Drosophila melanogaster: one gene and its partner. The gene in region 1 interacts genetically with each later gene. Each region holds a gene or a part of one and is shown on either strand. Other genes may lie near its edges.

What was found.
Region 2: of Rbsn-5 (region 1) and osk, changing one enhances a phenotype caused by changing the other (phenotypic enhancement), as found in Drosophila melanogaster (one study listed by BioGRID).

What each region holds. Positions count from the first base shown.
Region 1 is NT_033779.5:8,158,198-8,162,552, forward strand, and holds Rbsn-5 (Rabenosyn-5), read left to right. Parts: upstream 1-1,634; 5' UTR 1,635-1,894; coding exon 1,895-2,561; intron 2,562-2,619; coding exon 2,620-3,230; intron 3,231-3,295; coding exon 3,296-3,535; 3' UTR 3,536-3,603; downstream 3,604-4,355. Other genes in the region: PAPLA1 (phosphatidic acid phospholipase A1), read right to left, coding at 1,022-1,235; CG43394 (uncharacterized protein), read left to right, coding at 47-514; Acbp1 (Acyl-CoA binding protein 1), read right to left, coding at 3,724-3,866, 3,926-4,040, 4,114-4,128.
Region 2 is NT_033777.3:8,933,191-8,939,081, reverse strand, and holds osk (oskar), read right to left. Parts: upstream 3,957-5,891; 5' UTR 3,937-3,956; coding exon 3,402-3,936; intron 3,367-3,401; exon of another isoform or gene 3,283-3,366; intron 3,154-3,282; coding exon 2,736-3,153; intron 2,641-2,735; coding exon 1,876-2,640; intron 1,818-1,875; coding exon 1,715-1,817; 3' UTR 687-1,714; downstream 1-686. Other genes in the region: ScsbetaA (Succinyl-coenzyme A synthetase beta subunit, ADP-forming), read right to left, coding at 194-262. UniProt on the Drosophila melanogaster protein: Organizes the germ plasm and directs localization of the posterior determinant nanos. Oskar protein is required to keep nanos (nos) RNA and staufen protein at the posterior pole.

The DNA of each region.
Region 1 (4,355 bases):
ACCTGATTATGAAAGCATAATTGAAATGTTTAAATATAATTTCCAGGACTCAACTGGACCTACACTATCCTGGGAGTTTGGCAGCCGCTGTGATTACCTGACGCCCGAATCCCAGAATTGTGGTGAACGTTTTTGGACTGTGGATGTGACCGCTCAGGACTGGCAGTCAGGCATGATGCGTTTGCAGGCCTCGCCGCCAGAGGGTCTTTTCTACAGAAACTATTATACTGCTGGTAGCACAGAGCCCCTGAAGGCAACCTACATGGCCTCTTGCTGCGAACCAAAGGTATCACTCATCGCTTTCGATGCGGCCGGGAACCAGAGAAGCCTCACCATCGATGTCAGAGATGTGTATTTGAACGAGGCCGCCATTGCAGCCATTTGCCTTGGAGTCATTCTCCTGATCCTGCTTATTGCAGCCCTCATATGGAGCATTGTGTGGTGTTGCAGACGGAGGAAGACAACGCTGGAGCTGCCCACATATAGATCCCACTCCACTAGGAGCATGGAGTAGATTGTTGTTATGTTATTGTGCCAAGTTAGAACCTATGTGGTCTCGAAGTCTAATAAAATGCCATAGAAGTACCAGATATACAATATGGCACCGTTTTACTAAATGTATGCAAATATTTAGGATACAATTGTTTGTCCCTGCATAAACTACTGAAACGAAGTGCAACTTAAAAAAAGTAGTATAAACAATGTCGGTGATTTCAAACGATTAAATGGACTTAACTAATGTCTTATTTAGGAAAACTATTATAATATATCTATATATTTGTTCAGCTAGTAGTAGGTATACATATTTGTTTAAGCCAAAATAAGTGCTGACCTGACCCATTCCTCTATACACTGAAAGTAGTTTATATTAACTTGATCCGTGATAAAGTCAACCCCAGTTTATGAAGAGGGTAAGAAGGTCAAGTGCCTTGCCAGGCTTATCAGCTTATCATTATAGCAGCCGAGCAACAGGTGACCCCCACTCCGCGTTAGATTCACGAACGTACGGTGACCCACTTACCGCGATTCAAGATGCCAGCGATGAGGACGGGCGCCGCTGGAGGCGTGGCATGGACCACGGGCGGGGCGGCTGGCAGGAGCTGCGGCTTGTTGGGGAAGTCGTCGAAACTCAGGCCGGTCACGGAGGCGCTCAGAAGCGGATTTTTAACGACACGCGTCTGGTTTGCGTTGTTGTTTACGCGAGCGGACACGTCACCTTTCGATCTTTCCGACATATTAGCGGCCGATCTGGAGCTTTAAATTGGGCTAACTCGATATGAAGATGTGTGCCAAGTGCACAGTTGCCTTAGGAATTATTTTTATACACAGGATATTGACACCCACGACGGATTAAAAGCGTTAAACCCGAGAAAACTTCCAGGCAGGCAATATTCTGCTTCTTTCCGCGCATTGGCCATTCGCCATGGAAAGCTTTTACCAGGGCTGCAGCGGATCCAGAAATGGATAGGCAAAAGCTGGTAATCAAAATATGCTTATAACATATATATTCCTAGCTAGTTTTAACTGGGAAAGAGTATGAAATCTCCGTGACTACCATAAACAAATTTTCAAAAATCCAAATAAACAGCAAAAATAGCCAAATATTGCTTTTGCTGCAGCCCTAATTCTCGGATATTATTTCGAATTGCAATTTGGGAAGAAGAAGAGTGAAGTAGATAAATCTTGATGATTTCTGCAAATATTAGTTTTTAAATAAAATTAATGGATTTGTAGAAACTCTGACCGTATTAATCGAGTTTAGGACTACAAGTGCCGTAAGCCCCGTCATGCCACTGTTTTAAAACAAGTGGAAAACCTTAGGGTCAATTTTTTTTGGGGAGGAGACCACAACAAATAACACCCACCGAATTAACTACGATTACTCATCGCCGGAATGTCTGGAAATCCTTTCGACAGCGACGAAGATCAAAGCTCGGCCAGTGGAGAGATACTAGAGGGCTTCCTATGTCCCATTTGCCGTGCGGATCTCAAGTCCATCGATGTGCTCACGGATCATTTTGCCCGCCAGCATGCGGAAGAGGAGGATGCCCTAAAATCCTTTAAAGATATCTTTACCAAGGCGAAAAAGAAGATCCTAAACCCCTTTGAGGATGAAAAAGGTGCATCTGTATCGTCGCCCGCAGGTTCCTCCTCTTCAGCGGCTGGCAAGAATCCCAATGGCAACGGAGATCGCAATGGACCCAGTAATGCCCGCTCCCGTCTAAATGTATTTAACTATATGGCCAGGCAGCAGCCTGGTGCTGAGTGCTCCCACTTCGAGTACTTTCAGTCCATTCGCAATCCTCGCCTGGAGCGATATGCCAGCGAAACAAACAAACTAATCATTCGTTTGCACCGCCTGCTTAAGGATCTGCCAGCGGATTCAGTGCAGCGGCGTCAGCATGAACAGCAAACAGTTGCCTGGCTGGATGGTAGTTCCGTCAAGTTGTGTCCCAGTTGTGCCAAGAGTTTCCACATCGCCCGAAGACAACACCACTGCCGTTTGTGCGGAGGCATAATGTGCAATGATTGCTCCAAGTTCCTGCCCCTGGAAGATGCCAGTTTGTAGATCCAATAATTGAGGAAAATAATGTAACTTATTTGATTATAATCCCGCAGTGCAACTAGCCAGTCTTTCCACCACAAGAAGCGAGCCCCTTCAGCAGCTGCATCAGCATGAGAACGCCATCCGGCTGTGCGAACACTGCCTTTGGCTGCTGGACACCCGAAAGGATATGCACGAAAGTCGCACTTGTCGCCCACTCCTCGTCCAGGTCTACGAACAAATTCGTCAACTACAAAAAGAAGTTACCCCGGATCTGGACATGTATCTAAAGATCATCAATAGCTTGAACGAAGGGGACACAATCTTCACGTTGGCGGATGCAGGTGCTTTGCGCGGCAAGATTGGACAAGTGGCAGAGGCCATGGACATGAGGAGCAAGCGCATTCTAGCCATATTTTGTGAACCAGGCAGCCGGGAGGAGGCATTAAAGAAGGCCATTCGGTTGGGCTGCATCCAAGCCATCAAGGAGCGAATGTTATCGCTGCCCCCACTGCCAGAGGAATCGCACATACGCCAGATGCAGGAGCGTAGACGCATGGAAACGGAGCAGCGTATCCTCACCGAACAGCGCATGGCCATGGAAGCCTACGAACGAAATAACATGGCAGCTAACCAATCCAACGTTGGAGTTCCTGGTCCGGAAAGCGGATCCTTTGCCCAAGGGGTATGTAGACGAGGACTCTCTGCAAAGATCAATATGTAACCTCTGTGATTCCATTTGCTTCACAGTCTGATCTTCAATCTCTGAACAACTGGTCAGCACCGCAGGCGGCTAGCAAGTCCAGCCTGGACGATCCGCTGATCGAGCAGATAAACATCATTAAGGGCTACATCAAACAGGCTCGCCAGGACATGAACTTTGAGGTGGTGGAGACGCTGGAGCTAAATCTTCGCGAGCTACAGCGCGAAGTGTACGAGCGACAGCGCCAGTCCCAGGGAAGCACCGCCGCCTCACCCACAGAGGCCTAAGCAGTATCCTACATAGTTAAATGTATATTCATTCCCTCTATGACAAATTACATGGCTTACGTTACGTTACGAATTTGTGGTGTATATTGTGCGAAAAATTTTAGTTTGTGCGAAGTTTCTGTAAATCAAAGTTTGTGCGTTTGACGACAACTGAGACTATAAAATGCAACATCCTATTTCGATTGAGTCTATGACTTCAGGCCAACGGCAGCGATCAGTGCCTTGACCTTGGTAATGTAGGCGGCCTGGGCGTCGGTATTGCTCATTCCCTTGCGGTTGTTCCACGCCTCCCACTTGGCCTTGCCCTTGAAGTCCAGAAAGCCGGGCTTATCTGCATTGGATTAGAATTATCGATGGTGCAGCGGAGTGACGACTATGTCCGAGACCCACCTGTATTGCAATCCCCCACAGTGGCCTGTTTGTACAAGCTGTAGAGCTCCAAAAGGTCATTGTCCCCGGGTGTGGTGTTTAGGTTCTTAACATCTTCGGCCGCCTGGTTGAATTCCTGTTTAGGTTAAGTTTGAATAGGTAATCAGACTTTAAGATACGAATGCGTATTTGACGTAGATTCAGTTCACCTGCAATTCGGACATTTTTGTATCTATTTTTTAACTAGTGGAAGTCTTTGGAAAAGAAATTGCACGATTTTACTTCACCGAATCTATCGGCGTCTATCGATATCTGGTCTATACTTTTGTGTGACCAACAGTTTTTCAATTTAGAGTGGACAAGCTGTTGCGTTTTATTTCGCGGGTCTGGCAGCCTATACACTTAAAAGATTCGAAGTCTAATTTCATATTGAGAACTGAGATACATTATT
Region 2 (5,891 bases), on another chromosome or scaffold:
GGCAAAGAACTTAAATTATCGCTTAAGTTTTTTTTTTGTACCGATAAACGATCAGCATTTCACATGTGTGAGTAAGTGAGAGACAGAGAAGGGGACAGCGTAGGTGTTCACTCTCTCTTTTCGCCTTATTATGTAAAGCGACGGATTTTCGCATTTTTTACACACAAATATGACTACTAATTGGCGAACTCACCTTTTTTATGGCCGCTGGCCTAACGGTTTCGATCAGGGGGCCGCCAGTTCGTGCCAAGAATGAAGCCATTTTGTTCTGAAATCGAATGAGAACGTACGTTTAACGATTTGAAAGCGAATTTTGACGTTACTGCTTACATTTCAAGATTTTTTTGCCGTCGCCTGCTGATGGAGGTGGTAGAGCTTCGATAGCAGGGACTTTTTTATGCTTTTACAATCGAAAATGCCGAAAAACTATCGTGAACTTAATGCAAGGTTGGAAACTGTAATATATTAGCAAAGATTCAAGCCAATTTGGCGGGAACTTTTAATATTGCATGCCATCTAAATTATTTTTCAACTACCGTTATTTTTATGATAATAATAAATTCGCAAATATAATAATATATTCACAAATGTCACAATATAATCTAGACCACTTTTAAATCGAAATTAGTTCGATTAGTTCCCAGTTACTTTGAACATAGCTTAGAGCAAACAAAATCATTGATTTCCCTTTTATTTTATTTTTTCATTTTTTTTTTGGATTTTACATTGCAGCTTGTTATAGGACAAAAAAAACGTGATCACCATCAATACATACAATTAACATACATTCAAGACAATAAATAAGTTTATAAATAGTAGATAGCTATCTAGAAGACTTTAAAGTAGAGCTGTAAATTACGCCAGAATTCTACACTGTGCTACAAACAAGCGCTTAGTGCGCACTTCCGGTTGGCGTGTCTGCAGCAGAGTGTAAGCATTTTATAAACTTTTTTGCAAACGGAAACAGAAAGACGAAAATCGCGCAAATGCTTCACTTGAATTTGCTTGAGCACATCAATAATAAATCAGCCGCGGCGTTGATTTTGTGCAAGCGAATTTTCCAAGTAAAGCAGTGCATTTTCATTACGGCCAAAATGCAGCATGGCTCATATGTATACGTACCACGCCCACTGCGCCCTTCTTTTTAAGGGCAAGTGGCAGGTTGTGTGATACAGGAGCATGCCGAATTTTGACCCACACAAAAGTATATAGAACAAAAAACAGTTTATAAGCATTGCAATGATTTGCATTTAAGTTCCATTTTGCAGTTTAATCTGATTTGGTAAAAACAGATTTCAAAGCAAAATGGTTTTGGGAAAAGCGGAAAAGTTTGAAGAGAAGTTTTCAGCTGCTTGCGCTTATTTTGCATTTGATTATTTTACACAGCTTTTGGGATAGCAGCAAAAAGTGTGCAGAAAATCAATGGCATTGGCAAAACAAATCACAGACAGCGAAAAATTGAGAAGTTTAAATCTAACATAGAACACAAAACACACAATAATATACAATAATGGACTAGGACAAGTGCACGAACATATAAATAAACAAAGACAGAGAACATACTACATATAAAACATATTAAAACTAAGCGAATTCCGTAAAAGCAGCGATCCATCAGCGTAAATCGTAAAATCATCAAAAAGTTCTTATTTTGTCGGTTCCGGTGCCAGCCCAGTCAAAATTTGCATATATGTATCTTGATTAAGAACCCAACTTAATACTCCAGACTCGTTTCAATAACTTGCAGTACGCGCTGCCGACCGATTTTGTTCCAGAACAGATAGGGTTCCTTGGAACCGGTGACTTGGCGTGGTGAGCTGAAAAGTGGCACAAATCGTAAACTCATATGATATGGTATATGGTATAAAGTCTTACGCCTGAAAGCAATCAAATCGCACCACGCCCCTTTCGTTGATTAGACAGGAGTGTATGTCGATGACCTTTAGGTGACAGCATTCGCTTCGGATAAACTTGTTGAATCGGTAGATTTTGTCACATAATACCTTATCGTGACAATAGTTGCCCAGCGGTGCAAGATTTGTTAGAATCGGCACCAATCGCATATTGTGCATCTCCTTGATCAGTAGCCGAAAATCGTGCTCGATCTGAACCAAAGGCTTGCCGCGCATAATGTCCACCGATCCGATATTGACGATGATCTGAGTACCCTCGGGTAATTGGACTCTTTTTAAACGATTTCGGGCGCCATTGATCGTCAGTCCGGATACACAAAGTCCTGACTGCAGGACGCGTTCGTGACGCCTAAATCGGCATTTTAGCTCCATTCGGGCGAGATATAGCATAAAATCATCGCCCATAAGCGGAAAGTCCAGCAGATAGGCATCGTAATCCGAGTTAATCGTCAGCAGAGAATCGTTGTAGGTTCCACTGGTTAAAATCGTTGGCGTGGGCGTCATTTCGTGGCGTCTCTTCATTATGTTCATGCCGTTAAATGGATGCACAAAGATGCCCAAATGGCGGTTTTCAGTCGGTTCGGTTTTCTGGCTTTGGGTTCTGCAGCTTGGCTGATGCCCAGGTGGAGCCAAATTGATTGGTTCCTCTGGGGCATCGGGGCTGTAGATGTTGATGGGTACTGGCATTTTTGGCGCATTTACGCTGGCTTGCTGGTAGAAATTGTTGCTAGGAGTTCAGTAGAAAGATTAGTACATTTTGTTAAGTAAAGGTTTATTTTTGCTATAGTTGCACTGTCTACAAAACACCTTTTCAGTACTCACAGATGCTTCCAATTATCCTGGTAGCACCAGTTCGACTCCGCTGCCTCATTGGCCATTTGATGCAGCGAAACCGGCCTGGTGGCGATATCCTTGGTCTTTTCATCCGTTATCTTGGGCACGGTCCTCGGGCTGGTGTTCAGCTGGGACAGAGCCCTCCGTTTGAAGGGATTCTTCCAGTAGCGTGGAGGTGCTCGTGGTATGTTCTCCAGGGACGGAGCTCCGCTGCTGTAGTCGCTGGTGCGCTCTTTCTGGTTGAGCACCATATCCAGGAGGTGACCGTTCTTCAGGCTCGCTTTCAGGTTGAAGATCCGCTTACCGGACTCGCTGCACTCAGCGGTCACATTGGGAATGGTCAGCAGGAAATCCGTCACGTTGTCGTGCAGTGGAAATGGATTGCCCGTCAGTTTTCGATATTCACCTGGCGAATTTCAATTATAGAATTATTTAAGGGTAATCTTACAAAAAAGAAACATAGAAAAAATATAAATTAAAATAAATATACTAAACTATAAAAGTTATATAATCCAAATAAAATTTAATAACCTACTAAAAATTTATACATTTTAGATTTCTAACTAAATATAGCCACTTAGAGAAAGTTCTGAAGTGTTTGATGAAGTCGAAACTTCTGGAAAGAAGAAAGCTTTCAAACATAAAGCTACTCACTCTTGATGCTCGATATCGTGATTCCATTCTGGGCGTGGCTCAGCAATATGGCGCGCACCTCACTATCTATATCGGGATATTCCTCGCGCACGGATATATAGTTGCTCTCGATGATGGTCATGTTGTTCTCGCTGGTGTTGCTGTTGCTGTTGTAGGTGATTTCCTTGGTGGAAATCTGAGTGGACGAGAAGAGTCTGGCTACGACTTGCAACTGCTGGCTGCTCTGCCGGCTGGTGAGTTCATGGGCCACCAATGGCACCTTCCACAACTCCGGCAATTCGGTTTTTCGCGCCGATTTGAAGATCTTCCGAAAGCGTTCGCCGCATGCGGAGAAATCGGACCTTACGAAGATCTGGTTGAGGCAGCTGGAGGAACTCTTGCGAAAGGAACCGGATGACTGGAGTTTATCGCGCAACTGCTGGAAACACGTGGTCACCCGCTTTTTCACGGACTTAAGATAATAGGTTTTGGCGGAAGTATTGGTGCTGGTATAACTGATCGGTTTGCTGGGGAATTCACTTGTGACTGCGGCCATCGCTTGGAGGAAAGTGATCCAATATTCTTGGATCCCTCGCCAACGCGGTCCACTTCTCCATTCATCTGCATTTTGGAGACTTACGGTGCTTTTCGTACTGGAAGGCGAAAGAGCAGGCGCAACAGAAGTAACGGTGAGCAGTTTGCAGAGATAATGTTTCCAGATCAACAGAATTTGTGAAAATACATTAGGGTGGTACAACCAAAAAATTTTGAAAAAATAAAAAACTGTTTTCAGAACCTAATATAGAACCTATATATATATATATATATTCATTTTCTTTAATTTTTTTATCAATTTGTTCCCATTCGCCCACCATTAGGTTAACATTCAAAGCAGTCTACGTAGCCAGTAAAAACAATTAAACGAAATTACCACCTGCATTGCCATTTGACGACCATTACACAAAGCAGTTTGCACTCCGTTCCAGCTGGACATTCGTTTTAATGGCCTTTCTCTTGGTCCAGATTAGAAAACAGCACGCCAGTGGGTCTGCAGAGCTGCTTGATAAGCAATTACGAAGTAGCATATACATAAATTCCAGAATAACTCAAATGGTGCCGACGAGCGTTACCACGTGCGGTGGTGCTCTGGTGGTCTGTCGGCTAATCGGCAAATGGAGCTGCTTGGCAGCAATTCCCCAGGAGATGATTATCCATCCATACAGCAAGTGCACCTGAAACTCCGAGAAGGGTAATGGAGGCACTTGCTCTGAGGGTTAGTCCAGCGATTGATGGATGACTCAGGGGCTTTCTTACATCTCGTGATGATTCCGGCACCCCGGAAGAAGCACAGACAATCGGAAGGAGGATTATGGCTTCTTAGCTTAAGCAAGTTGGATACAGTCAAACATCAGTAATGCGTACCAGCAAGAAATTACAAAAATTAAATCAGTAAAAATTTTACTTAACTAGCAGATCAGAATAATAAAAAAATAATTTTCAATAAGGTGTTGATGGGTTCAAAGGGTAATATATATAGAATGGGCAATAGTTAGTGCCACTACAACCTATCTGTAATTTAGGGAAGTACTTCCTTATAGATGTTGGACTGTATATTTTCCCTAGCCTTGCCTTAATTGCAGAGGATGCTGCAGAGACGTGACGAGCAATACAATACTATATGTATGTAGAAAAACTGGGCGAGAACATGTGGTCCAATTTATAAATCTCGACCCTTCTCCCATTTTTATTTGCTGAATGTGTAAGCCCAATAATTTAGAGTGGGATGAATCAGCCGGCTTTTCTTGCCATTCAATTTTCCCTTTTCGGGTGGTGTTTCAAATATTTTGAATGCACTCGCACAGCACAGGGCAATTGTCCGGTAATAATAGTAATTTGCATTCCAGGCCCTCTCTCATTCTCTCTACTCCCAGCTAAGAATTACAGTGGTCACTCGATTGTAAGGTAAGGAATTATACATATATTTATGGTATTTGGCAACCTTCCTTGTATTTCTATAAGCGTAATTGTAGGAAGTAACCACTGAAAAATAAATTTGTTTAATATTTTTAAAGACATTTTCCTACTCTCTTCCTTTCTAACAACTACTACCATGATTGACGACCATTTTTGATTGACAACTTTTGCATTTGCGTGTGGTGGGTGTGCATTGGAAATCGCAAAAAGCAATTTACCGCCTAGATTTGTGAACGACACTTTTCATTGGGTTCGACTGCATTTCTGCATAAATTATGGAAGCCGACGGAGCAACTTGTTGTTATTCTGTCTGCTGTCTTAGAATTTTTACCAGCAGCGAATTCATTTCGCAGAGGGCGGCTAAATGTTGGGGGATAGGCAAATTATTGTAATCAATTTATGCGAACAATTTAGCTATTGCCTCACTTTGGTGGGGCGGAGAGACACCTGTTAATCTGCTGACAGGCGGAAAATCTCAGGAATGCTGATTGCGTTGCACACGATTAACCAGAAGTTCACCCCAATGGCAACTGAATC